3 linked regions of the Caenorhabditis elegans genome follow. The protein of the gene in region 1 purifies or fractionates together with the protein of each later gene. This does not show direct contact. Each region holds a gene or a part of one and is shown in the gene's direction. Other genes may lie near its edges.

Region 1 (7,679 bases):
TTGAAACTTTCAAATTAAAGTTTAGTCTTAAAGGGGTGAATTCGCGGGGGAGTAGTTTCAAAATAAAGCAATACTTTAATTTACTATTGGTATTGTACTTCATTGCTCCACTTCGAAAAATTATATCCAATTTCTACATATCATAACTTGAGCAATGGGGCACAGCACTGATAGAGAAAGTACAGTAGTTCGAGTGCACCAATTTCTATATCCAATTAAAGAAAAAATATGAATACATTAATATTCATAATAAAATATTTATTTCCAGTCTTATTATTAGTTCAAATCGCCCAACCTTGCCACTTTTGGCGCCATCATTCTGTACATAGCCATCTCAATAACCGTACCGCCCGTTATTTCTGACATCGTGATTAAATATAACATGAGTAGGTAGAGACACTCCTGCTTATTCTCTAGATAATTGCCAGTTTTTCGACGAAAAATTGTGTCTGACCTCGACTATCCTGTCTAATTATGGGCAGGGATCGGGAAAGAATGGTTTGCAAAGTTTACACAAAAATATTCATGTTTTTGAGGAAAAACTGGGATTAATGAGATTAAGATTTCCTAGTATTTCTAGAAGAACAGAAAATTTTCAGGGAAAATTGAAAGTGTGAATATCATAAATTGATAGGAAAGAACAAGTCGAATATTTTCAGATTGTCTTGCTGATCTCGGGTTTATTCGGTGCTACTCAAAAACGACGTCCACTTCTTTACACTCTCCTCTCATCAAATGCTCTTTCCGTTACAATCAATGTGCTCATTTTCCTATGGTATATCGGAGTCTTCGGAGAAATTTCAAGACCATATCTTTCGGCTGGACTACCGTACTCTTCTTCGTTTTTCTTAAGATTCACACCATATTGTGATGCCGAGTTTGATGTGATAAGGTGAGCGATTTCATTTATTCTAATTGGAAATATGAAATAATCAAATGATTTCCAGAAAGAAATGGGTTCAAAAACAGTGTCTCATTCCATTCTACTCAGTCGAAGCATCTCAAGCAATTCTTCATATTATTTTTGCAATCGTAACTTCAATTTTCTCGATCTTAGTGATTGTGGAACTTCGAAAGAAACCAATAAGATCAAATTCCCAATCAATTAACCATTATGCTCAAATATGTGCATCAAAAGTTGCCAAAGCTCCAAGTTCCACGAATAATTCTAGCAGTGGATACCTCAATTCACAATATGACGACTTAGGATCTTCGAGAGAAAAAGTGAAAGTGACAGAGAAAAAAGAAGTCAAAGGACAATTCGAGAGAAATTCAAAGAAGAAGAAAAAGAATCCACGTCCAGAAATGCCAGCTCCAGATTGTGCTCCGTGTTCTTCAAATAGATCATCAGAAGAAGAAAGTAATTTGGAGGATGTGTACACACAGCCAATTAAAAAGAAAATTATGCCGTTGAGAGTAAGTTTGTTTGTTTTGAATTGGTTAAATGTTTCCATTTTCTATAATTTTATACATGATTTTCAAGTCGTTTTAGGTAGAAACTTTTGGCTACAACTTTTGAAAACTTGATGGTTAATTATTAAATTAGTACAAAATGGTTACTGTAGTCATTTAGTTGAATAAAATATTTCATTTCACAACTGCTATATTTTCTTTCAGAGACCTGACCTAGAAGAAGAAAATCGTGGAACTAATGTCACATCATTAGTCAGCTTCGACCCAAAAAGTGCGACTCTTTTGCGAATACGTCAGCATTTGGAGGCAGAGCCATCTGATAGAGATGTGAGTTTTCATGAATGATTTTCTATACAAAATATTTATATCAAGAGTTCATAGTTGAAATAATATCTATAATTTTCAGACGCCAGACTACGATATGTACGAACGACTCCGATCAAGATCTTCTGGACACTCTGAAGTTGCACCGGCTTCTACTATCCCTTTGAGTTCTGACTATAAATCAAGAAATGCTTCTCAAGATTCGGTTCCTTCAATGTTTGCTCCGATGCTCAACTCTCCAGCCCCATCTTCTACAACTTCTGGATCTTCTTCTAGAACATCTGGAGCTTCGTTGGCACACAAAACTCACATTGTTGGGAAAGGTGGAATTTCGTTATCAACTGTTGATCCATCCCCGATTCTTTCTCCAGGAATACGGTTATCGGAGCAACTAGGAGCCAAGAATCAGTCTTATAAAAGTGCATTCAGGGTCCAGAAAACTGAAAATGCTCGTGTTATAAGTCACTATCACGCTCCCAACGAAATTCCACTTTCCAGTGATCCATCGGTTGTTGAGAATGAATCTAACTATCCCGTGATGACTAGTGGTGGACTTCTTGTTTAATTTTGACTCAAATCTCATGTCTTGCCGTCTTTTTCTAGGCACTATATACGGGTTTATTCTTTCTTTTTTGTATTCTTTCTGCTTTTTTTAAAATAAATGTTTAAATAATTGAGCTCAATTTTTATTAGAACCAACAACAAGTGATAACAAATTACGATAGAGACCTACTAAAATTCGAAGAAAATTGCTGAAAACCGAACACGCTAGGAAAATTAAAACAATTACTTTGCCTTCTTGGCAAATTTATCATGACGAATCCACCATTCGTCCCAGTCGTTGTTCTTGTCATTTTTGAATGTTGGGAAGTGAACAAGTGGATCTGGATGAATATCTTGCAGACGTACACCAGCTCTCTCAACAGGCTTTCCAGGTTCATCTGTCCAGCTTTTGTACCATTGACGATAATCAAAGTTTCGGAATTCTACTCCAAATGTGATTGTTCCATGTTCTTTTGCTTTCAGAAGTTGTGCACGAAGTAGCGTGTACTGTTCACGACATAGTCCACTCTTCAGGATATCGATTGGTTGGTCGGTGCCATCTGCCAAAAATTGTTCAATGAGACCTGGGTTTCGGTAGTCGAAGTATAGATATTCGTCACGGCACACCTGTAATTCGTGAATTTGTTTGTTATATCTGCAAATGTTAGTTGCTGTTACAAAAACTTACTGGACAAGCATGATTTAGATTGAATCGGCCGTGTTTATCAATGCAGAAAAGTCTTGGAGGTGGTTGAAGTTTCGATTGACCCTGAATTTTCAATCAATTTATTTATTTTTCGAATTCAAATTACCTTGATGTTTCTCTTATACCATCTGTAAATCGGAAGTCCTTTGTAAGCCTCTGCGTATCCTGAAATATATTAAATAATTTAATTTTTAATTGGCATTCATGAAAGCTGTACACAAAGAATTCCTCTTATTTTGTTTTTGAAACTAAATTGAATATTACCTCGACTTTTCATATAGGAAATCTGCTCGGCAATACTGTGTTGTGGTTTGTACATTCCCTTCTTTCGTTCAACATGATTGTAAGCGTATCCGGCCTGAATATATCGATTTTTAAGTAAAATTGTTTATAAATTTAACATAGAAATTAGTTTAGTTCAAATATATTATCAGTTACCTCTTCTGGAGTCGGAACTTCTTTAGTTTTTCCTTCGCAAGCCAATCGGCAGGAAGAATGAATCAGCCTTCGTGCGAATGATCCCCCAGTGGCTAACATACCTGAAATACTGACTTAGACAACTTTTAAACAATTTAATTATATTTAAAAAGTACAAGCTTATAGCTTTAAATTACAATTAAAAACTTAAAAATAAAATAATATACTTTGTGCGTCAAGTTAAATGCGGTGTACGCAAGGAATGTGTGTTCACCGTCACGTCAAGTTGCACATTTTCGAACATCTTATTTTTCTCAAATTTTTATTCTTCTGTCTTGTTTAATCTTTTTTATGAATAGTTATTCACTAATTTAATATTTTTTAAATGTTTAGTTGTAAGAAAACTTTACAGAAATGGATTCGTGTCTAGAAACCATCAGAAACTTGCACGAGGAACGGGAACGATTAATCGATATAACTGTTAAGGAAAAAATTGCAGAAAAGTTAACGCATAAGGCCAAAGTTAATAGCGAACAGCGAGTGAAAACATTTGTCGATGTAAGAAATAACTGTTATGTTATTTCAATTCAATATTATTATTTTTCAGAGGTACTATTCAGTTTCCGCCGAGCTTGCCAAATTTTATAAAGATGAAGACGGTTCGAAGAGCATGGAAATGGATTCAGTTTCTGGTCCAAATGAGTTCGCCGAATTTTATTCAAGACTGAAGGTCATCAAAGATGCGCACAGAAGAAATCCAGACGAGGTTAGTTTTGTTATTTTCCCCGGAAACAATTAAGTTTGGTTGTAATATAATTTCTATACATTTTCAGCTTGCCGAACCACTCACCGTGGAGTTCCAAAAAATCAATGAAGAAATCATCAACCCTGAAAGAGCCGAGCCAGATATGGTTGAATTCAGTGATGAAGAAGCTTACGGTCGTTTTCTAGATCTTCATGCACAATACGACAAATTCATTAACTTGAAGAACATCAAAAGGGTTGATTACATGACGTATTTGTTGAATTTTGAGAAATTCACAGAGATACCGAAAAATACTACCAAGAAGACAGGAGCATATAAAGAATACATCAATTCCTTAAAAGACTATCTTGTTTCTTTCATGCAACGAACTCGCCCACTCCATGATCTCGATTCAGTTTTCTCTGAGGTTAATCAAACTGTAGAAAGAGCATTTAAAGCAGGGAATCTTCCTGGTTGGGAAGCTGATAAAAACAAGAACGGACCTCAAGCAGCTGCTGTGGATTTATCTCCATACAATAGTGCTGAAGAACTCGAGGGATTGGGATTGGAACGTTTGAAAGGAGCTCTCATGGCAATTGGTCTGAAATGTGGAGGGTGAGTTAAAAATATTTGGATTTTTTAATTGTAGTCCTCGTTATTTTTCAGAACTCTGAAAGAACGCGCTGATCGTCTTTTCGCTACCAAAGGGCATAAACTGTCAGATCTCGAAAAAGCAGCAATGTCTTCAAATAATTCCGATGCCGAAAAGCAGAACGCTAAAAATTTGACATTGGCACAAACGGAAGCTCATATTATGGCACTTGCTGATATTCTAGCTGAAGAACGTACTGGAACTCGCGAAAATGTCGAGAGAAAACAAGCTAGATCTGCTGGAGAGGTCGAAGAAGAGGAGGAGGAGGAAATTGTGGTAGGTTTGAATTATTTTCTCTAGTTATTTTTAGAAACATTTAAAAATTCATTTTTTAGATCGAGGAAGAGGAAGAAATTGATGAGAGTGCACCATATAATCCAAAAAATCTACCGCTTGGTTGGGATGGAAAGCCAATTCCGTATTGGTTGTACAAACTTCACGGCCTCAATCTATCATATTCATGTGAAATCTGTGGAAATCAAACTTACAAAGGTCCAAAGGCGTTCCAAAAGCATTTCAACGTAAGTTCATTATATTGGTCTCGTTCAAAAACTTGATATTTGCAGGAGTGGCGACATTCTCATGGAATGAGATGTCTTGGAATTCCGAATACCTCTCATTTCGCCAACATTACGAAGATCAAAGATGCACTGGATTTATGGAATAAATTGAAAACCGAAAAGGAGATGGCTAAATGGAATCCGGACATCGATGAGGAGTACGAGGACTCCAGCGGAAATGTGGTCACCAGGAAGATGTATGAGGATTTGAAAAGACAAGGACTTCTGTAGACGCTATTTTATGTATTCCATTGTTCTTCTAAGTTATTTTTTTTCCTTTTTAATCTTACATTTCTGTAAGTTTTTAACCAATTGGTCTCATTTTTCAAATTTAATGGATAAACTTTTTTGTAATTTTAGTACAATTGAAATAATTTATCGGTATATACAGTTTCAGATAAGTAGTGAGAAAGTTTAATACTCAAATGCAGGATTTGCCTTGAAATCAGCACATCCTAAACAGCTACAATATTGTTCTCCTTTTCCGCAATAGCCACTATTACTGCAACAGTAGGATTCAGAATCCGGATCACATTTTGGAATTTTTCCAGTAGAAAGTCGTGGAGCATTGTAACCACAACGACCTGAAGATATATTCTTATAAGTTGAATTGAGGGCCTGTTCCCTCACCAACGTTGGCTGGATTCTCAGAAAATGTCCACCATTCTAATGGTTTATATTTGAAATCTCTCTGTTTTGCAAAATCAATACATCCATTACATTCACAATGTTCCTTTGAATTTCCACAGTAACCTCCATTACTACAACAATGAGCATTAGCATCATCTGGATTACAAGTTGGCGCTTCTCCTTCTAAAGGTGGAACATCTCGACCACATCGTCCACGTTTCCCTTCTCCAGCATCCGATGTGTACCATGTGATCTTTTGGCTTGGTTTCACTGGTTCTTTCAAAATTAAATTTGGATCTGCACCATAGTCAATACATTCAGGACAAGAACAGAATTCTGCACCGGAACCGCAATAGCCATACTGCAAAACGGTATTATGAAGCCTTTCACGGTGGTACTAACCTTTCCACAACAAGCATGACCTGGATCATCTGGATCACAAACGGGATAATATCCATCAATCAATGGAGACGATTTTCCACACATTCCAGCCAATTCCTCATTATCATCATATGTCCACCATCTTTTGTCGTCTACTGGAGAACACTTGTAGTTGAATGACTTTGTTGATGTGGTACAAATAGATTCAGCTGCAGCAGAGTTCAGAAGGGTACCTTGATCATCATCAAAGTCAATTGCCCATATCATAACTCCTCCAATATTATTTTCAACTATATAATCAACTTTATGTTTGAGACTTTCAGCATTTTCATATCCAACAAAGGTTTTTTGTTCAGAAAGCCAAATGAATGGGGTTTTGGATCCAGAATGAAACTTGGTTTTTGTAGTATCAAATTTCTCGTGCAGATCTCTCCATTGAACATCTCCACCTTCAAATTTTGTGCCTTCTGAATTAGTTGCCGTAGCAGTTCTCCACATATCATCTGTTGAGTCAACAGCATCACCCACATTCTTCCAGAAACGACCATAGAATGGGACACCCATATTTATCTGGAAGTTGATTAACGGTTACGGTAACTCAAATACCAAAATGTTTCTTACCTTATCAGTTGCTTTTATTTGGCAACTGTAGTCTTTCATCGTGGCATGTACGTTCATTCTTCCAGAGAATCTAAAAAATTATTTCGTTGCTCTTCGCTTCCCCTTACTAATTTTAGCTCACTTTTTCGGCATAGCAAACTGTAATGGTGCTGGGGGTCCAGTGTATGCACCCCATTTCGAAGCCCATGCTCCAAAATAATCATAACTCATAACATTCACAAAATCACAATATTTCATCAATTGTTGTAGATCGTATCCTGGTTTCAAGACCCAATGTCCTGCTGCTCCAGCGAACGATATGAGATACGACTTTCCTGTTTCGGATTCCAAATCTCTCAACTCATTTCGAAGTTCTCTCATCAAGTTTACATAATTCCTTCGATCAGCTGGAGTACCCTCAACAGCACCGCCTGTTACGGGATATTCCCAGTCAATATCAACACCGTCAAAACCGTACTCTTTAATAACTTTGACAAAGTTCGAGATTAAAATTGATCTGAAATTTTATGTGTTTTCTAGATCACGCCTTTGACACACCTTCTAGAGTGATCTGCAGTTAAAACGGAAAAATATTGAGAGTTTTCCCAGCCTCCAACAGCGTACAAAAGCTTGAGATCTGGATGACGAGATGCAACCTAAGATATCAAATATCATTTTAAAAACCTATAACTTTTAAATAGTTTTTGA
Region 2 (8,571 bases), on another chromosome or scaffold:
ATGTATTTAATTTCAGCCCAACACAAGTACAAAGATTCAACACTCTTTACGAAATTCCACGTCTTGATAAATGGTTCAAATCCGATGCAAATCCATCTAAACAAAAAATGAACAATTACTTAAGCCAGCTCAATCAGAGTCCGTTCAGAAAGAACAATTCCAAGATCAGCTATCAACAGGTGAATTTAATGCGCCTACATATTACTCCATTAATCAAATGAATTTCCAGATTTGCAATTGGTTCACACAAAAACGCTCGAGTTCCCGTACCTTAGCTCCAGTAGACCTAGTGCAGGTCTCGTCAGCTCAGACAGCGGCGCAGCTGCTCCCGGGATTCCAACTCAACTTGCTCCAGTCCCTGTTTGGAGAACAACGTCAAAAATTTGATTTTTACGACAAACTGGATGAAACCAAGATTGTCGGCGGCTCCGACTCGCCATCTCCAGCCGATGATGAGATTCATAGCAATTCAGATGAAACTATTCAAGATACTTTGTTTTCCATCAATATTAAACCAGAACCGGAAATTGTAAGTTACGTTTGACTGTTTGTGCCATAGTTAGGTTGATTAGCGTTGCTCGTGCTGAAAAGCTTTGAAAAATCACGCTAAAAACGGATTTTCGGCTATTTCGATTCTGATTCACATTAAAGATAACATCTCCCAAATTGCTAAATATTACCGATAAGGTTATAAAGACCTAACACTACGGCCGAAAATCTGAATTTATTCCAAACTGTCAGCGTCGGCTGAGCGCCAATTAAAAATATTTTTCGACACAATTATGGTCCACCTTTAAAAATTATTCATCCCAAAACAAGCAACATTTCCTACAGGATTCAATTGCATCCTCCCCGGATATGGCAAACTCAATGCGCGAATCATTGTCCTCGACCTCCCCAAAGCTTCTCAGCGGGCTCGACCTCGGAGCATTCAGCACCCACTCATCATCCACCAACTCCATGCAAAACGCCAACTCATCAGGTACAACAAAGAGCTTTAAAACAGACAGGCTAACGGAAAAGAGAGGGAGATGGGTTGAACCAAGAACTCATAAATTAGAAGCGAGCACACACACACAAACACACATAGACATACACAAAGTGCGCGAAGACACATAACAAAGGGAGAAATGTGGGGCGTCGAATTTCGCACAGACAACCATTACGATCACTGAGATCTGAGGAAAAAAAAATGAGGCTAGGTATTGTGTTTACAGAAATAAAACAGAAAATCAACTGCAAACTTGATTTTGAGAAATATTCTAGGGATTTTGTACTGGCTCAAACTTATCGAGAAGGTGGCCATGTTCATGATACTCAGTCTGAAAACCTATATTGGTTGCTATCTCTAAAACGCTCTTAGATTGCGTTTGCTATGCATATGAAAAATGACTGCATAAAAATTCTCTATCTTTTCGACAAGAAAACTTTAAGGTGGAATTTTACTTCTATTTTTCGATAAAATCACTGACGCGGAACGTTTGAAAAAATTCAACGATAAAGCAAATAATCTCCGTTTTAGTGTTTTCAGCGGCTCGCTCACGCCTGATGTTCGACCCACTCACCGAGCTACCCGTCCTCGAAAAATGGTTCGAAGAGAATCCTCACCCGACATGGATGCAAATCGATCAGTACACACAATGCTTGAACAACTGCGCTTATCGAGAGAATTATCCGCATATTAGTCAGCACAATGTGAAGGTAATATTCTATATTAATACTGATTACTAGTTATCGAATTCGAATTGCAGATCTGGTTCAAAAATCGACGTGCAAAATGCAAGCGATTGTTGAATGGAATGCAGGAAAAGCTTGAGCAGAAGGTTTTCGTATAAAATTAAAATTTCCAACTTTTTTCAAAATCTTATTATCTTTAATTTCGAAAGAACATTAAGTTTTTCACATCAATAGTTCCTTCTTTAACCGTCATACTGGTGTACCCCTTGAATTCCTGATCTTCAGTGCCCCACAATTTCTCTTCAACGAAGAGCAAAATCACTACTTCATTTTTCATTCCAGCTGTGATTTTTGTCTGTAAGCTACACCTAATCGCTAGCTGTATATCTCGACGCATCTTTCGTTCTGCAAAACTTCTAGTCGCTTCTTGTCTTGTTTAACCTTGATGGGAAATTAAGCCGGCTTTAATTTCCTTCTTTCTTTCAATCAACAATTTCCCATCGCTTTCTTTGTCTCTTTCAATGTTCCACAGATCACATAGTTTTAATGGTTTTTCAATGTTTCCCTTCTTACCGTCACACTACTTTCCAATATTATTCATCTTAATTTTATGTCTACCACTTCCAATATCAATCTTGCCCACCGTTTTCTCAATTTTTTTTGTCAAATTTAAACTTTTCTCTGCTTTTCAGTTGTGCTTCAGCCCTTTATATGCCAAAAACTTTTATTCAGAATTTTGACATACAACCACGTTTATTTCTTTTTATTTGAATGTTTTGAGAAATAAAGTTTTTTTTTTCAGAAAAAAAATTTTACAAAAAATGGTCAATTTTTTATTTAAAAAATTGGCACACAAAAATAAAAACAGACATGATTGTAGGAGAAAATTTTCAGACTTTTCAAGAAATTATAACTTTTAAAAAGCTATTTTTGGAGAAAAAAGCTCCCTATTTTAACAATAAAGTTTTGAGCCATTTCACGCGTGCACCAAAAAAAATGTCTGAGAAAAATGTCAGGGGTACGAGTTGAGTTTTCCTTTTCAAATTTTTTGTAAAAAAATATTCAGAACACTATCTAGAGCGACAAAAAACTTGGTTGGTGAAAACTCGTTCTAAAATCTGGCACTGAAGTTACTTCCTTCCGCTAACAACTTGTCAGGTGCAATCTAAGTTTCGACTAAAAAAAACAATTATTATTTCAAAGCTGGATAATTTATTCGAATTTTCGAAATATTGCAGAACTGAAAAGAAAAGAAGTTTTCCATAAACTTGGATTGTCAGTCAAATCTTGCAAGGACGTACACGTTGTAGGTTTGCCTTGGAAGAGGTCGTCCACTTCAACATGCAGTCCAGTTATACTCACTAGGAAAGTAATTTAACTCACTTTCAGACTTTCAAATTGAATTTATAAGAACTTAAAGCGGGTTTTCATCAAAAAATAACAATGGAATATAAAGAAGTCGATTTGATATTCTCCGAGCACGTTTTCACTGCTTTTGTAACGTTTGCAACTATTACAAATGAGGAAGTTTGCAATTTTGTAATGCTTTTAATAAAGTCTAAAAATAGGCAAAACAATTTAATAAATTTTTTTTTTTAAATATTTCAGAATTTTTGTTCAGCCTAAAACGTCTTAACAATTGCCTCAAAATCTTTTTAAAGCAGTTTTATTTATACTTTTGCGGAAACTTTGCAATAATCCTATAAATAGCATAAATAAACATTTTTTAAAGTGAAAACAAAGTTTCATTGGTGGTTTAAAAAATTTATAAAGCTTTATAGAACGTTGCCAGTGTAATACAACTGTTAAAACATAACTCACTTGAATAAATCACATGAAAAATTGTTTGATTAATAAAAAAACTTGTAAGTAACAAAAAACCTGCAAGTTCTCGACTGTAAAAACAACAGCTGGAAGCAAAGTGGAACGCTTAACCATTTTTATTTCTGTTTCCCACTGTCTTTTCCAGAAGTTCCTGAAATGTAAACATTTTAAACTGAATTTTCACAACACATCAACCTCTGCTCTATTCGAATTCTAGATGAGAACAACTTGCCAATGGAAGAGTATAATCGCATTATCAGTGACAACTAATTTAAGAGCCTCAATTGGATAAACTAACTTTTTCAAACAAAAAAAACCTGATAACAATTTTATTTAGTTTTATTTAATTATTACATTAAGAAATATCTTCTAAATAAAGACGATTTTTCAGTAAAATGCTCAAATTTGTAATTACAAGTATTCTACTACTGCGGGTCTGTAGTGGAGTAAGTATTCCCAATAAAAGTCAACACGGCGAACTAACGAAAAGCTGTAAGTTTAAGTAAAAAACACGTAAAATTGAAAATATTGGCAAAAGTTTGACATATTGAAAAAACACAGCAGGCTTACTTAAAAATGTTTACATCATAAGTTCTGGTCCGAGTCACAACTACACGAAAGGTATTGAGCTCACTTTTGTGCTTCTAGCGGGAATTTTTATTTGATGAATTAAATAACCAACTAAGAACAATTTTTTCAAGAGTGAATTTGGTGGAAACGCCAGTGGATTCTCTTTCTGGCTAGGCCAAGCCAACACATTTAATAGAACCTCTTCAAATCTTTACAGAAAACGTTTTTTGACCAGTTTTAGCCAGAGGGATTAAATTTCAGTGAATTCGAAACTCAAACAACTTGTTGCACTAAATCTATCGGAACCTTCTCAACGGGTTCAACCTACCTTCTCTTCAAGACCGAAACTGTTGGATCAAACCTCTCCAGTGACATGCTACAATAAGTCAATTGATATACTGCCTCATGACGGTACTGCAAAATTTGGTGATTTAGTGGAGAGTGATTTCAGGTATACATTTTTAGTAGGGAATATTGTAGAAAATCGTGGAGTGCTCGGAGATTGCTAACCAGCAGTTCTAAAAATTGAGCCTGTGGGACATTTTCACTCAGTGTTTTCATTAAAATTTAGGAATAGAATCTGGAAAATGTTAATTCTAGTTAAAGGTGGAGTGGCGCCAGTGGGGAAATTTCTTTAAAACACGCCTATGGTACCAAAATGACCGAATATCATGATAAAAAAATGCAAAAATTTTTTCTAATTTTAAAATTTGAAAATTGAAAAAATCTCAGTTTTTGCCTAATTCCGATTTGAGTTTACGCCAATTGGATTTGTTCGATGGAGCGCACTTGCACGTTTTAATTTTAATTTATTGTTATTTTGTCATATTTTTCACCAATTTTCCATGTTTTCAATGTAGTTTTGTCTGAAATTTGACGAAAAAGTCAAAATAAATGCTAATTTTTGATTAAAAAGCTAATTCACAAGCGTGAGTCTGTGAAATCTGTAAATTCAAGTTCGAAATCGTTTAAATGCATGCATTTTCTTTCAAAATAACAATAAATTAAAATTAAAACGTGCAAGTGCGCTCCATCGAACAACTTCAATAGGCGGAAATTCAAATCGGAATTAGGCAAAAACTGAGATTTTTTTCAATTTTCAAAAAATCATATAAAATTTAGAAATTTTTTTTGAATTTTTTAATCATGATATTCGGTTATTTTGGTACCATAGGCGTGTTTTAAAGTACTCGAAAAAAAATACTCGAAAATTGTCAAAAACGTGAAACTTGTTGTTGATAGTAAAATTGCCATTTTTCATTTTTCCGGTTTCTATTTGCGATTTAATAATAATCTAAAACTCTATCTGGATTTTCATTACGTTATTCGAGAACCAATACCAGATTAATAACATGTTTCATAATACATACACATATCTTCAGTGCGACTTGCTCCGACACTTTCACTTTTTACGTCGACAATTTTATCGAAGAGTTCTTTGTAATTATCAATACACTCGACGCCCTCAATCCGCGGGCAACAGTTTATAATCCGATTGGAGGCGAAGTGTCCACATGCAAAGATATCACCACGGACGTCACTCAAACAATTCACCTTATCTGCAACGGAAAGAATGTTCACGGAACTGGAGCGTATACGGTTCAGCTCTCTGCAGATTTGAACAAGTGAGCACACAATTAAAACAAGATGACCCAAATTGTGAAAAAAAAATCAAAAAAAGACTCTTGAAATCTTATCTCATTTAAAAATAAAATCATTCAGACCGTGTATATTTGAAGTCCGAGCTCCAACAAAGCTGACAGTTGATGGTGGGTTTGTAGAGGATGTTCGTGACGATGACGTTCAGAAAGTAATATTTTCCACTGCAAATCAAGGAATATTCCGTTTCCCACTTGAAAATCAGGCAGCATTTTTAGCATTTAAAGTCGAGAGTGAAGAATTTCCAATTCATCCCGATGAGGTGCATCTTTATGTAAACGGCCTATTCGATCAGAAAATGGATTTGAACTTGAGGTGAATGTTTGAGAGTGATAAAAATTTGGAATTGAGTAATTTTTTTCTACATTATTCAATAGAATCAATTTTTCTACATTATTCAATTTTGGATGATCCAAAAAAATTGAAGGAAAGTAAACTTTTTTCTGTTGAAAAAAATACATGTTTATATTGCAGAAGCATTTTTTAATTCAAAAATAAAGCCTGAACATTTAGATTTAACAAAGATGAATCATGAACATAATTGCTTTGGCAGAAAAACCATTTTTCAGATACGGCTGCAGTACCCCTCATATCACTCAACAATCTTATAACTGTACGTCTCAAAACTTGTATCATGCCAAGTTCAGAGGTATTTCTCCTTTCTATTTTCTCCCTTCTCTCATTGTCGGTTTCTAGGATACGATAGTGATGGAAACAGGTTCCAGAGAATCTACGACTTTAGCTGTGACCTAAGTGAAATTACATTCACAACACCTTCCGTGCACGTTTCGACGACGCCAGCAAGGTTTTGTGAAAATGGAGGAATTCTGTATAATGAAACGGTACGTAGGTGGCTTTATTTTCAGGTGGACTGGGGCTGCCCGGCAAAAAAATTTTTTTAACTGGACTATATTTCGAAGGACAATCTTGGTATAATTTTCTATTTTGGTAAATAATTCTAGTAGTTGGTTTTTAGAGTTGGTTTTTAAAAAGTGTTCCAAATTAAAAAAAAAAAGAAATTTGCCAGATTTGAAAAGCTGAAGTATTTTGATTTGCATGTGAAATTGCAATTTAAAAAAAAGTGCAGAAACAGAACACAATTTGGAATGTTCGAAAATTTATAAAAAAGACAGAGAAAGGCAGAATTAAGCCTTGTAAGCTGCACGAGATGGGCATGGACAATATCCAGCATCTGGTCCTGGTGCGGCATCCTCTCCCTTTTGTCCTGGAACTCCATTCTTTCCTGGATGCCCTGGTGGTCCTGGTCTTCCGGCGTTTCCGTTCTTTCCAGCCTCTCCATCGTTTCCTGGTGCTCCTGGATTTCCGGCTGGTCCGGTTTCTCCGCGTGGTCCTTGTGGTCCTGGACGTCCTGGCTGTCCTGGCTTGTACTCGGTTCCTGGTTCTCCACGTGGTCCTGCTGGTCCTGGACGTCCGGCGGCTCCTGGTCTTCCTGCATCTCCCTGTGGTCCTTGCTCTCCTGGTCCTCCAACTGGTCCTGGTGGTCCGCGTCTTCCGTTTCCTCCGGCTGGTCCAGCAGATCCTGGAAGTCCTGATGGTCCTTTTGGTCCTGGACGTCCTGGTGGGCACTTGATGCATCCTCCTGGAATATCGTGGGTGATGGCAACAATAACTCCAGGAGCTCCTGGCTTTCCATCGTCTCCATCGTGTCCTGGATTTCCCTTCTGTCCACCCTCTCCTGGTGGTCCTGGTGGTCCAGCTGGGCAACCCTCGGATTTTGGTCCGCAGTTACATTGCTCGAATCCAGCTTGACGAGCGGTACGGGCTCCGAAGAGAGTCTCAAAGGTTGGTGGAGCATTTGTGTGTCCGGTTGGGTTGATGTGCTTGCTCACCATACGAGCCCAGGTGTCTTGGGTGATAGCCTGAACACAAAGTGAATTGATAACAACACTAACTTCCTTTATGTAAAACTTACTCTAAATTCAACCATACCATCCTGGAACTCAACTTGAAGCTCCTCGATCTCATTGAGAAGGTTTCCGATGGTGTAAAGCGAGGCAAGAACGCACACAAGTACTCCGCAGGATCCAACCACAATGAGCTTGCCCATGTTGATGAACTGATGTCTTTCTAAATGGTGACCGTTTCCTTTTATACTGAAAGTTGCTGAGAAAGCGAAAGTTACACCTTCAAACCTAACCAGTGTAATCTAACCAATTTCATTTTTCTGCCAGGAAAAAAAATGCGTTTTTCATTTGATAGATAATGTGTTTCCAAGAGAGATGGACAATGAAATTTAAGGAGAAATTTCTTCTATCTGTTTTTTTTTCTGGTTGGGGAAATCGGAATTTTTTTGAAAATAAAGACAAAGCGAGTGTTTTTCAACGAATAATGTTCAAAAATGAAGTTCAATAACTAATCTCAAAAATTTTCTTTCGAGAAAAAACTATGAATTATCTGGAGTTTTATTGTTTTTCAAAAATTATATACTCCTTACTTCAAGGATTTGGGCAAATACTAAAATATTACCTAGCTGGGATACTAAAAGAGAAAGGCATAAGTTTGGTTTTAAAATTTATTTCCAAATATTTCTATCCTATAATACAAAAATTTTTGAAACTAACCATATTGGTTCAGAAAGCACGTCAATTTTGAACAAAGGTATTGTATGCTTACTGTTGTTTAGAACACACTAAATTTCGAGTTTTTAGAGAGAAAATGCGTTAAATTTTCGAAAAAAAAAATTAAATAATACATTGGTGCAAATTTTCAAATGCTAAATACGAATTTATTTTATTATGAATTCAAATAATTTTCATCAGTTTCCCAATAAAAAAACCTATGAGAAAGTATTAGATGTAGCGCGGTAAGTTTTCTGAAATT
Region 3 (8,419 bases), on another chromosome or scaffold:
TTATTGACGAAGATCTAGTAACACCAACAGAACAAGTAAGAAGTTAAAGCGAGAACATAAAACGAGAACTGATTCGGGAAGTCCCTCCAAGGTTGGCAATATGGTCCACGTGTCCAGGATTGAGTTGTTCATAATCGCGTGGCAAGGTCATGGCGTGGAACGTGTTGTTGTCATCCTCTGCTGCTCCTTGTGTGCATCCATCCGGATTTCACGGCGTAAATGGTTCACGTGGTTGTTCCTTATATGTATCGACTGTACGGTTGTCCCTTGAGCAATGGTGATAGATGTGCTCGATGTTGCTAGCGTCCATTGTAGAGTGCATAATTATGCAATAATTATGAAAGTCGTGATCGTTGGAGATTCTTCTCCATCGTATTCGCGACAGTTTCTTTTAACGATAGCATTGTAGCGACTTTCGAAAAATCCGAGAATAGAAACCCCGGCGACACACATTGAAACTATGAACATGTGCCCTTGGATAATGGAGGATACACCAAGATCTGTGAGTATTCCACGCATGTAGCCACCGAATACCGGTACGAGGTAGTATTGGGTGGATAGGGCACTGAGGAATAAGTCCAGGAAGGCACTACTGGAAAGATTTGAATTGTTGTCAAAGGAGCATATCCTCACTTTATGGGGCTATTTAAGTAGTGTCGGAAAATTAAAAAGTGCTGAAAAATATTGTAACAGCTGTATTTAAACACACACTTTATACATAGTCCATTTGCCGTTATCGGTCATTCGTTAGCCGATTTTGATCGAATTACAAATTCAGGGTCTTGTTAAGAAAAACGTGTGCAATTTTACAAGTTTTTTATTCATGTTCCTCAATAGTTATTATTTTGTTCTAAATACACTTCTAATACACTTTGGAAGTAAATAAGACATCAACATTTATTGATAAATTCATTATGTTTATCCGAAAAATATCCGCGTATAAAGTATAAAAGTAAAGTATATGGCATTTTCAGATGTGTATCTTACTAGTCCCATGTTAATTCGTTAACGAAGAACTATGCTTTAAAGTTCAAAATTAAATTTTGTAATCAATATGATTGGAAAAATCAATCTGACTACAAACTACAAAGACCTACCAAAAATGCATGAACACCATCATCCATTTAACAGAAGCCATTGTCGGTGGAGTTTTGAATATGACTATATAAGAAGCTAACAAGTGAATTGGAATTTCTATCATTGCAATTGGATGAAGAACTGACGGAGCAAATGTGTCAAGCTCATACGTGGAATTTCTCCACAGGCACATGAATAGTATGGGCAAATTATGATGATGTTAAGCACCAGAGCAATAGATGTGTGTCTCAGACTAACCTACATACAACAATAATGAATATCCAACATTCAAGAAGTAGATGTTTCATTTTATAAAGGCCAACAGCACTAACAATTAGTAGTAGTTTCACGGAAAACTTATCTGAAATGTCATGAATCGTGAAATTTTGTTGCTTTCACGCCATTCATCATCGCATGTACTTTTTTTTTTAATAATGGATGTTTTTGTACCTATGCTTTTATTTTAATACTTAGCGTATTTTTCTATTTTTAGCGTGATTATATATTAATCATATCATATGTAATCGCCAGCAAAATTTACTAGTGTTCTGAAGCGCTTCATGAAGTACTTTTCCCAAATTAAAGAAAAAACTTTGAAACACTATGGAAAAATGACCAACAGTACTATCATAGAGAATATACGGTATGTATGTATGTATATGACACTAATTAATTAATATACGCGTATATATGTGTATATGCCCTCTTTCTAAAATTTTTCATAGATTTTTTAAAAATTTTGCAACAAAAAAACATAGTAAAATTAAGTCGTATAACTATGTTCTAAATTCAAAAAAGAACTCGATGCAGTTTCAAATGTCCCCCAATCTTTTCTGAACACCTATACAACATAATTACATGTACACATTATTATAACTAAATAATAATAAAGTGACCTCTCTCTCTCTCCCACTCCTGCGTCTCTTAATCCCTTCGTATTCATTTTATATTCCGTGACCGCGCGAAAGATTGCGGTCGGCGATAAAATAATTCGATATTCCGGGGGCGATTCTGATCAAACGACGTTATTCCACGTTATATTGCGATGACTAAGTTGTTCGAATTGAAGGTGAGTCGTTTTATTAGTTTGGTCTGCTACACTACAAACTACACAAAATGTTGGCAGACCCAATCGGTTTTTTTTTTGCATTTTTCGCGGGTTCCGGTGGGTTTTCTTCAAAAAATAGTTTGTAGTCCAGAAAACCCACAATACTATTCCTTCTCGACTATGTCGATAAATGTCGTTGGTCTGCTACACTACAAACTACAAGTTTTGCCAGACCAAACCGATTTTTTTCGTCATTTTTCGGCTTTTCATACCAATTTTTTGTAGTTTGTAGTCCAGCAGACCCAATAGACTCTATAAGTCGAAAAAGCTTTTGGTCTGCTACACTACAAACTACAAGTTTTGGCAGACCCAACGGATTTTTATTAATTTTTTGTGGGTTTTGTCATTTATAGACCGTTTTCAGCTTATCAGACCATATTTTTTGTATTTTGTAGTCTGACAAACCGAATGACTGTAAATGTTTAAAAAAAAAGGCACTACGGTCTGCTAGACTACATTTTCAGCCGGTTCACGTGATTTTTTGGGTTTAATTCAAATTTTTTGTTTTTCCAATATACTTTTTTTCCAAAAAATAAAAAACTTTTAAACCAAAATTTGAGAAAAAAAAGTTTTTCTAATTTTTAAAGGTTTTCCTTCGAAATTTCACCGATTTTCTCAAATTTTTCGAGCTTTCCCAGGTTTTTAATATTGCTCTTTCAGATTTTCTACTTAATTTTCCACTAAACTTCCATTTTCCCCGGTTTTCAGTCCTTTTTTCGACTCATTTCTGTTTATTCTCCAAATTGGTGTCTGCAAGCGCGCCCCATCGCACTTTCGCTTTCGAAACTAAAAATAATAAATGCGTTGCGGAAAACCGATAAATTCTCGATTTTCGCCGATTTTCTTGATTTTTAAGCTATTTTTATTGTTTTTCATTGAAAAATTCGATTTTTTCGTTAATTTTGCATTATTTTAATGGCAAAAATCGCAAAAACCATAGAAAAATGTCTGCGAGCCGGGGTTTTTGAGAATTGGCGTTAAAAACGAAGATTCCCCGGGTTTAACGCGTTGTAACCTGTTTTTTGCTGCAAAATTCGAGTCTTACGTTATTTTTTCAACTTTTTAACATAGAAATTAATCGGAAAATGTAGAAAATTGATGGAAAACTTGGATTTTTGGATAATTAAAAAAAAAAATTGATTTTCGCCAGATTTTCGAGATTTCTACCATTTTTCTAGATTTTAATTCAATTTTACCCCAAAATTACCAGCTAAAAGTCATTTTCCCGAACATTCCCATCTCATTTTACACCTTGAACCACTAGAAGCATTTTTTAGTGTAATAAAAAACATATGTCCACCTATCGGGCCACTTTTTTGCCTCCCAGGCCGTAGGTGTACTATTATCTTCTCGTATTTCACTAATTCCAAAGAAAATGCCGAAAACTAGTCGAAAAATGGTGGAATTTGAGGTAAAAATGCTGAAAATTAACAATTTTGGTTCAGAAAATTCCCATTTTAGCCGAAAAATATGCAAAAACCCGACATTTTCTTCAATCTTTCCCGAAAAACCATTAAAAGATCCCATTAAAAAATCAATAATCCTTCAGGTTGAACCATGGCGACGACAATTCCAGGATCACTGGTCAATAAGACCAAAAAATTCTTTATGGGAATGCCAGCACCAACAGGATATGTTCCTGGAGTTGGTAGAGGTGAGAAATCGCAAAAAATTTTGTGAAAATTCGAAAAAAATCCGAAAAAACTCCAAAAATAGCTGAAAAACAGCGAAAAAATCGATTTGGTCTGCCAAATAATGGTCGTAGTTTGTAGTCCAGCAGACCCAAAGCTTTTGGGTCTGCCAGACTACAAACTACACGTTTTCAAGCGATTTTTAGCAAAATTTGCAGTTTTTTCAATACAAAACTGGGAAATTCACGTTTTTTATTGAATTTTACAGTTTCAGGGCAAAATCCAAAATTTTCAACAAAATCACTGAAAAATACGCTAAAAACAAAAAATCCGCCAAAATTCGGTCGAAAATGTAGTTTGTAGTCTAGCAGACCCATACGCTCGATTTGGGTCTGCTAGACTACAAACTACACTTTTCGACAAAATTTTACAATTTCAAGCGATTTTCTTGATTTTTTTTTTGTGAAAATTTGCGAATTTTTATGGAATTTTTCTAAATCGGTTTTTTTCCAATAAATTTGTGAATTTCTTGGGTTTTGTGCGAAAATTGGTTCTAAAACGTGTAGTTTGTAGTCTAGCAGACCCAAAACTGGTCTGCCAGGCTACAAACTACATATTTCGATTAAATTTTGCTGTTTATCGGCGATTTTCTGCAATTTTCCAATAAAAATTCACAAATTTTGGAAAAAATCCCTTCAAAACTGAGAAGAAGCGCTCAGAAAATTAATATTCAGTTGTAGTTTGTAGTCTACCAGAACTATGCAAGACTACAAATTACAAACTACAGAAATTATAAATTTTCTGCATCGAATTTTTAAAAAAATGCAAAAAACACACATTTTCGGCGAACAACGAAAAATGGTCTGCTAATGGTTTTTTGTAGTATTTGTAGTCTGGCAGACCCAATCTTTGTGGCGATGGTCTGCTAGACTACAAACTACAAAATCTCGCCATTCCTGCAATTTTCGTCAAAAAATCACTTTTTTGCAGCGTTATTTTTTGCAAAAAACATAAGATTTGATATATATACATATATTTTCAAATAATATTGTAGTTTGTAGTCTAGCAGGCCCAAAGTTTTTTGGTCTGCTAGACTACAAACTATAAAATCGCAGGTTTTCTCAGATAAATCGTTCAATCTCAGCCACTTTTCGTTAAAAAATCATATTTTGTCGAATTTTCGGCAAAATTAAATAAATATATATATTGTTATTAAAATAATATATTATAGTTTGTAGTCTAATAACAGACCTCTAAAATCATTATAATTCCACAGGTGCCACTGGCTTCACAACTCGTTCTGACATTGGTCCAGCACGTGATCCCACTGAACTACCAGAAGCCGGACCAGTCGGACCATCACCACAAGGAGCTTCATCGTCATCAGCTCCACCAGCAAAGCGAGCCCGGGATGATGATGGAGATGGAGAAGATCTGAACGAGGCGAATTATGATGAATTTTCGGGTTATAGTGGAAGTTTGTTCTCGAAAGATCCGTATGATCAGGAGGATGAGGATGCTGATCGTATTTATAATGAGGTTGATGATCGATTGGATGAACGGCATAAGGAACGGAGGTGCACAGGAAGACCACCTAAAACTACAAAAAACACCTCTTTTTAGGGGCTGAAAACATGACAATTTTGAGATTTTTCAGCGAAAATACGTTAAAAATCGCATGAATTGCGAGATTTTGTAGTTTGTAGTCTCTCAGCAGGCCATACCCAATGGGTCTGCTCGACTACAAATACTACAAAAAACATTCAAAATTTTGAATTTTAGCAGGCCAGGACTACAAGCTACACCTTTTTTTTTCGAAATTTTTCAAATTTTCATTAGAAATCGAGTAAAAATGCGGAGAATTTCAGAAAATCGCCGAGCGAAAAGTGTAGTTTGTAGTCTAGCAGACCAATTTGGTCTGCTAGACTACAAACTACATGTTTTAGAGCCAATTTTCGCACTAAAGCCGATAGATCCACAAATTTTTTAAAATTTAAAACGAAATTTCGATTTTTAAACGAAAAAATCGAAAAACTGGGAAAATTGCTCGAAAAATTGTAAAATTCTAGCGAAATGTGTAGTTTGTAGTCTGGCAGACCTTCGCCAAAACTATTTGGTCTGCTAGACTACAAACTACACGTTTTAGAACGAAAATTCGATTTTTCAAGAAAATTCCAGAAAAATCCGCTTATTTGCACGAAAAACTGGGAAAATCGCTTAAAAATCGTAAAATTCTGGCGAAATGTGTAGTTCGTAGTCTGGCAGACCCATTTTCCCAATTTGGGTCTGCAAGACTACAAACTACAATTATACGCTGTTAGCTTATTCGTTTTAACGACTTTTTGTCGAAAATCTCTTTGAAATGCGTGAAAATTATCTTTTTTTTCGCATTTTTGTAAAAAAAATCAGGTGATTTTGCCAAAAATCCGGCAAAAATTGATTATTTCATCGAAAAATTGCTATTTTTGCATAATTTCCCGTCAAAAAATGATTAAAAGTTGACGTTTTATGCGAAAAACCGATTGTGAACAGCTATTTTTGTAGTTTGTAGTCTCTGCAGACCATTGCCAAAACTATTTGGTCTGCTAGACTACAAATACTACAAAAACATTAGCAGACCCAATTTTTTTTTTCTTCAAAATTGGAAGCTTTCCGCCGAAAATCGAGTTTTTTTTTTGGATTTTTTACAAAAATCCGATTAAGAAAATTTAATAATAATTTCTTCAAGTTTGTAGTTTGTAGTCTCTGCAGACCACCAAATTCATTGATTTTTGGTGTCTCTTTTATACAATATTTGCACACACACTTGTTCGACAAATATCCTTTTTTTTTCAGAGAGAAAAAGTACAAGGAGCTCGTCGAACTCTTCCATAAAGACCGCCCGAAAATTCAACAAGGATTTCAGGATTTGAAGAGACAATTGGCTGAGGTATAGGCGATTTTTGAGTGAAAAAATTGCATTTTCATCGAAAATTTCAGCTTTTTTTATCGAAATTTAGCTCAAAAACCTCTAAAAATGGGGGTTTCGCTTCAAATTTGATGGAAAAAACTCGAAAAATAACGAATTTCCACTCAAAATCACTAAATTTTTTCTCGTAAAAACTGTTAAAACTTCATATTAGGTCTCCAAATAAATTCCGGGTCAAAAATCATAACTTTGTTCGCTGCAAATCGATTTTTATAAAACTTTAGGAATTTATGTTATCAACCATGATCTTTCATTTGACAATAGTCACAAAATTTTTTGACCGTCCGAAGTGCCCTAACTCGGAGGCAAATTTTTCAGGCATTTTTCAGATCTCGCTTTTTTTAACCTTTGAATTGAGGTTTGTGTGCGGATTTTGCTTTGTTTAGTACACAATGTAAGAAAACAAAAAAAGTTTGGAAAAAAATCCGTCCAAAAAAATTTTTGTCGAAAATTCTTGATCTTTTATACAAATATGATGTAACCATGTGCAAACTATTTTTACACATACAAAACATTTCAATTTAGTGCGTCACACTGAAATAATAGCAGAAAACATATATTTTTCGAAATATTTTTGAGTTTTTGGAGTATTTCTCGAGATCCAAATTTCATACTCAAATGTTTTGTATGTGTAAAAATAGTTTGCACATGGTTACATCATTTTTGTATAAAAAATCAAGAATTTTCGACAAAAATTTTTTTGAAGATTTTTTGAAGATCGACAAAAAATAAATTTTTTAGACGGATTTTTTCCCAAACTTTTTTTGTTTTCTTACATTGTGTACTAAACTAAGCAAAATCCGCACACAAAGCTCAATTGAAACCTGAAAAGAAGCAAGATCTGAAAAATGTCTGAAAAAATTGGCTCTGAGTTAGGGCACTTCGGACGGTCAAAAAATTTTGTGACTATTGTCAAATGAAAGATCATGGTTGATAACATAAATTCCTAAAGTTTTATAAAAATCGATTTGCAGCGAACAAAGTTATGATTTTTGACCCGAAACTTATTTGGAGACCTAATAGATTCACGAATTCCACCAAAATTCCCTTTTTCAGGTAACCGAAGATGAATGGCAAGCGATTCCAGAAGTCGGTGATATGCGTAACAAGGCAAAACGTAACGCCCGTGCCGAGAAATTCACTCCCGTTCCTGATTCAATTATTGCGATGAACATGAATTATGGACAAATGAGCCATTCAATTGATTCGGGAAATGGTCTCACAACGCCTTTTGCCAGTGGATTCATGTCTACGTTGGGTGGTGGTGGTGGAGCAGCTGCTGCTGGAGCAAAAAGTACGGCTGGAAATATTTCTGAAATTGAGCAGAGAAATTGCTGAAAATTGTGAAAAAAACCGATTTTTAGGCCAAAAATTGACCAAGACACGACACGGAATCAGACACGGAATTTGAAAATTTTCAATGGAACTGAAAAATTTTCCCGAAATTTGTAGTAGAAATTGCCGAAAATTGGGGAAAGTAACCAATTTTTAGGTTAAAAATTGATATATTTCAATGATCTAATTCCACAGGAAATTGAATTTTTGGCCAAAAATTTGAATAGAAAAATCAATAATTCCCGCAGAATACCCCTTGAAAATTGAGAAATCTAAATAAAAACTCAATTTTCCTTGTAA

The links. Proteins that work in one complex are often made in the same cells at the same time.
Region 2: the proteins of prp-9 (region 1) and hrg-11.4 fractionate together in Caenorhabditis elegans (co-fractionation; one large-scale study listed by BioGRID). This does not show direct contact.
Region 3: the proteins of prp-9 (region 1) and prp-6 fractionate together in Caenorhabditis elegans (co-fractionation; one large-scale study listed by BioGRID). This does not show direct contact.

Annotation. Positions count from the first base shown.
Region 1 is NC_003280.10:8,521,533-8,529,211, reverse strand, and holds prp-9 (Matrin-type domain-containing protein), read left to right. Parts: upstream 1-3,815; 5' UTR 3,816-3,817; coding exon 3,818-3,961; intron 3,962-4,010; coding exon 4,011-4,169; intron 4,170-4,236; coding exon 4,237-4,763; intron 4,764-4,814; coding exon 4,815-5,076; intron 5,077-5,135; coding exon 5,136-5,321; intron 5,322-5,366; coding exon 5,367-5,591; 3' UTR 5,592-5,718; downstream 5,719-7,679. Other genes in the region: gldi-7 (Sodium/potassium-transporting ATPase subunit beta-1-interacting protein), read left to right, coding at 660-892, 948-1,416, 1,618-1,740, 1,820-2,302; mrps-18B (28S ribosomal protein S18-2, mitochondrial), read right to left, coding at 2,524-2,907, 2,969-3,049, 3,093-3,151, 3,251-3,344, 3,425-3,523; cht-2 (GH18 domain-containing protein), read right to left, coding at 5,775-5,944, 5,991-6,351, 6,393-6,941, 6,993-7,062, 7,114-7,488, 7,530-7,627.
Region 2 is NC_003284.9:420,951-429,521, reverse strand, and holds the start of hrg-11.4 (VWFA domain-containing protein), read left to right. Parts: upstream 1-3,886; 5' UTR 3,887-3,896; coding exon 3,897-3,993; intron 3,994-4,332; coding exon 4,333-4,522; intron 4,523-5,453; coding exon 5,454-5,696; intron 5,697-5,793; coding exon 5,794-6,045; intron 6,046-6,299; coding exon 6,300-6,379; intron 6,380-6,426; coding exon 6,427-6,572; intron 6,573-6,830; exon of another isoform or gene 6,831-6,875; coding exon of another isoform or gene 6,876-7,610; intron 7,611-7,663; coding exon of another isoform or gene 7,664-7,798; exon of another isoform or gene 7,799-7,815; intron 7,816-8,571. Other genes in the region: Homeobox protein dve-1, read left to right, coding at 17-179, 230-529, 835-982, 1,523-1,701, 1,752-1,835; col-19 (Cuticle collagen 19), read right to left, coding at 6,876-7,610, 7,664-7,798.
Region 3 is NC_003283.11:18,018,745-18,027,163, forward strand, and holds the start of prp-6 (Pre-mRNA-processing factor 6), read left to right. Parts: upstream 1-3,734; 5' UTR 3,735-3,742; coding exon 3,743-3,839; intron 3,840-5,092; coding exon 5,093-5,393; intron 5,394-5,892; exon of another isoform or gene 5,893-5,956; intron 5,957-6,651; coding exon 6,652-6,745; intron 6,746-7,840; coding exon 7,841-8,078; intron 8,079-8,419.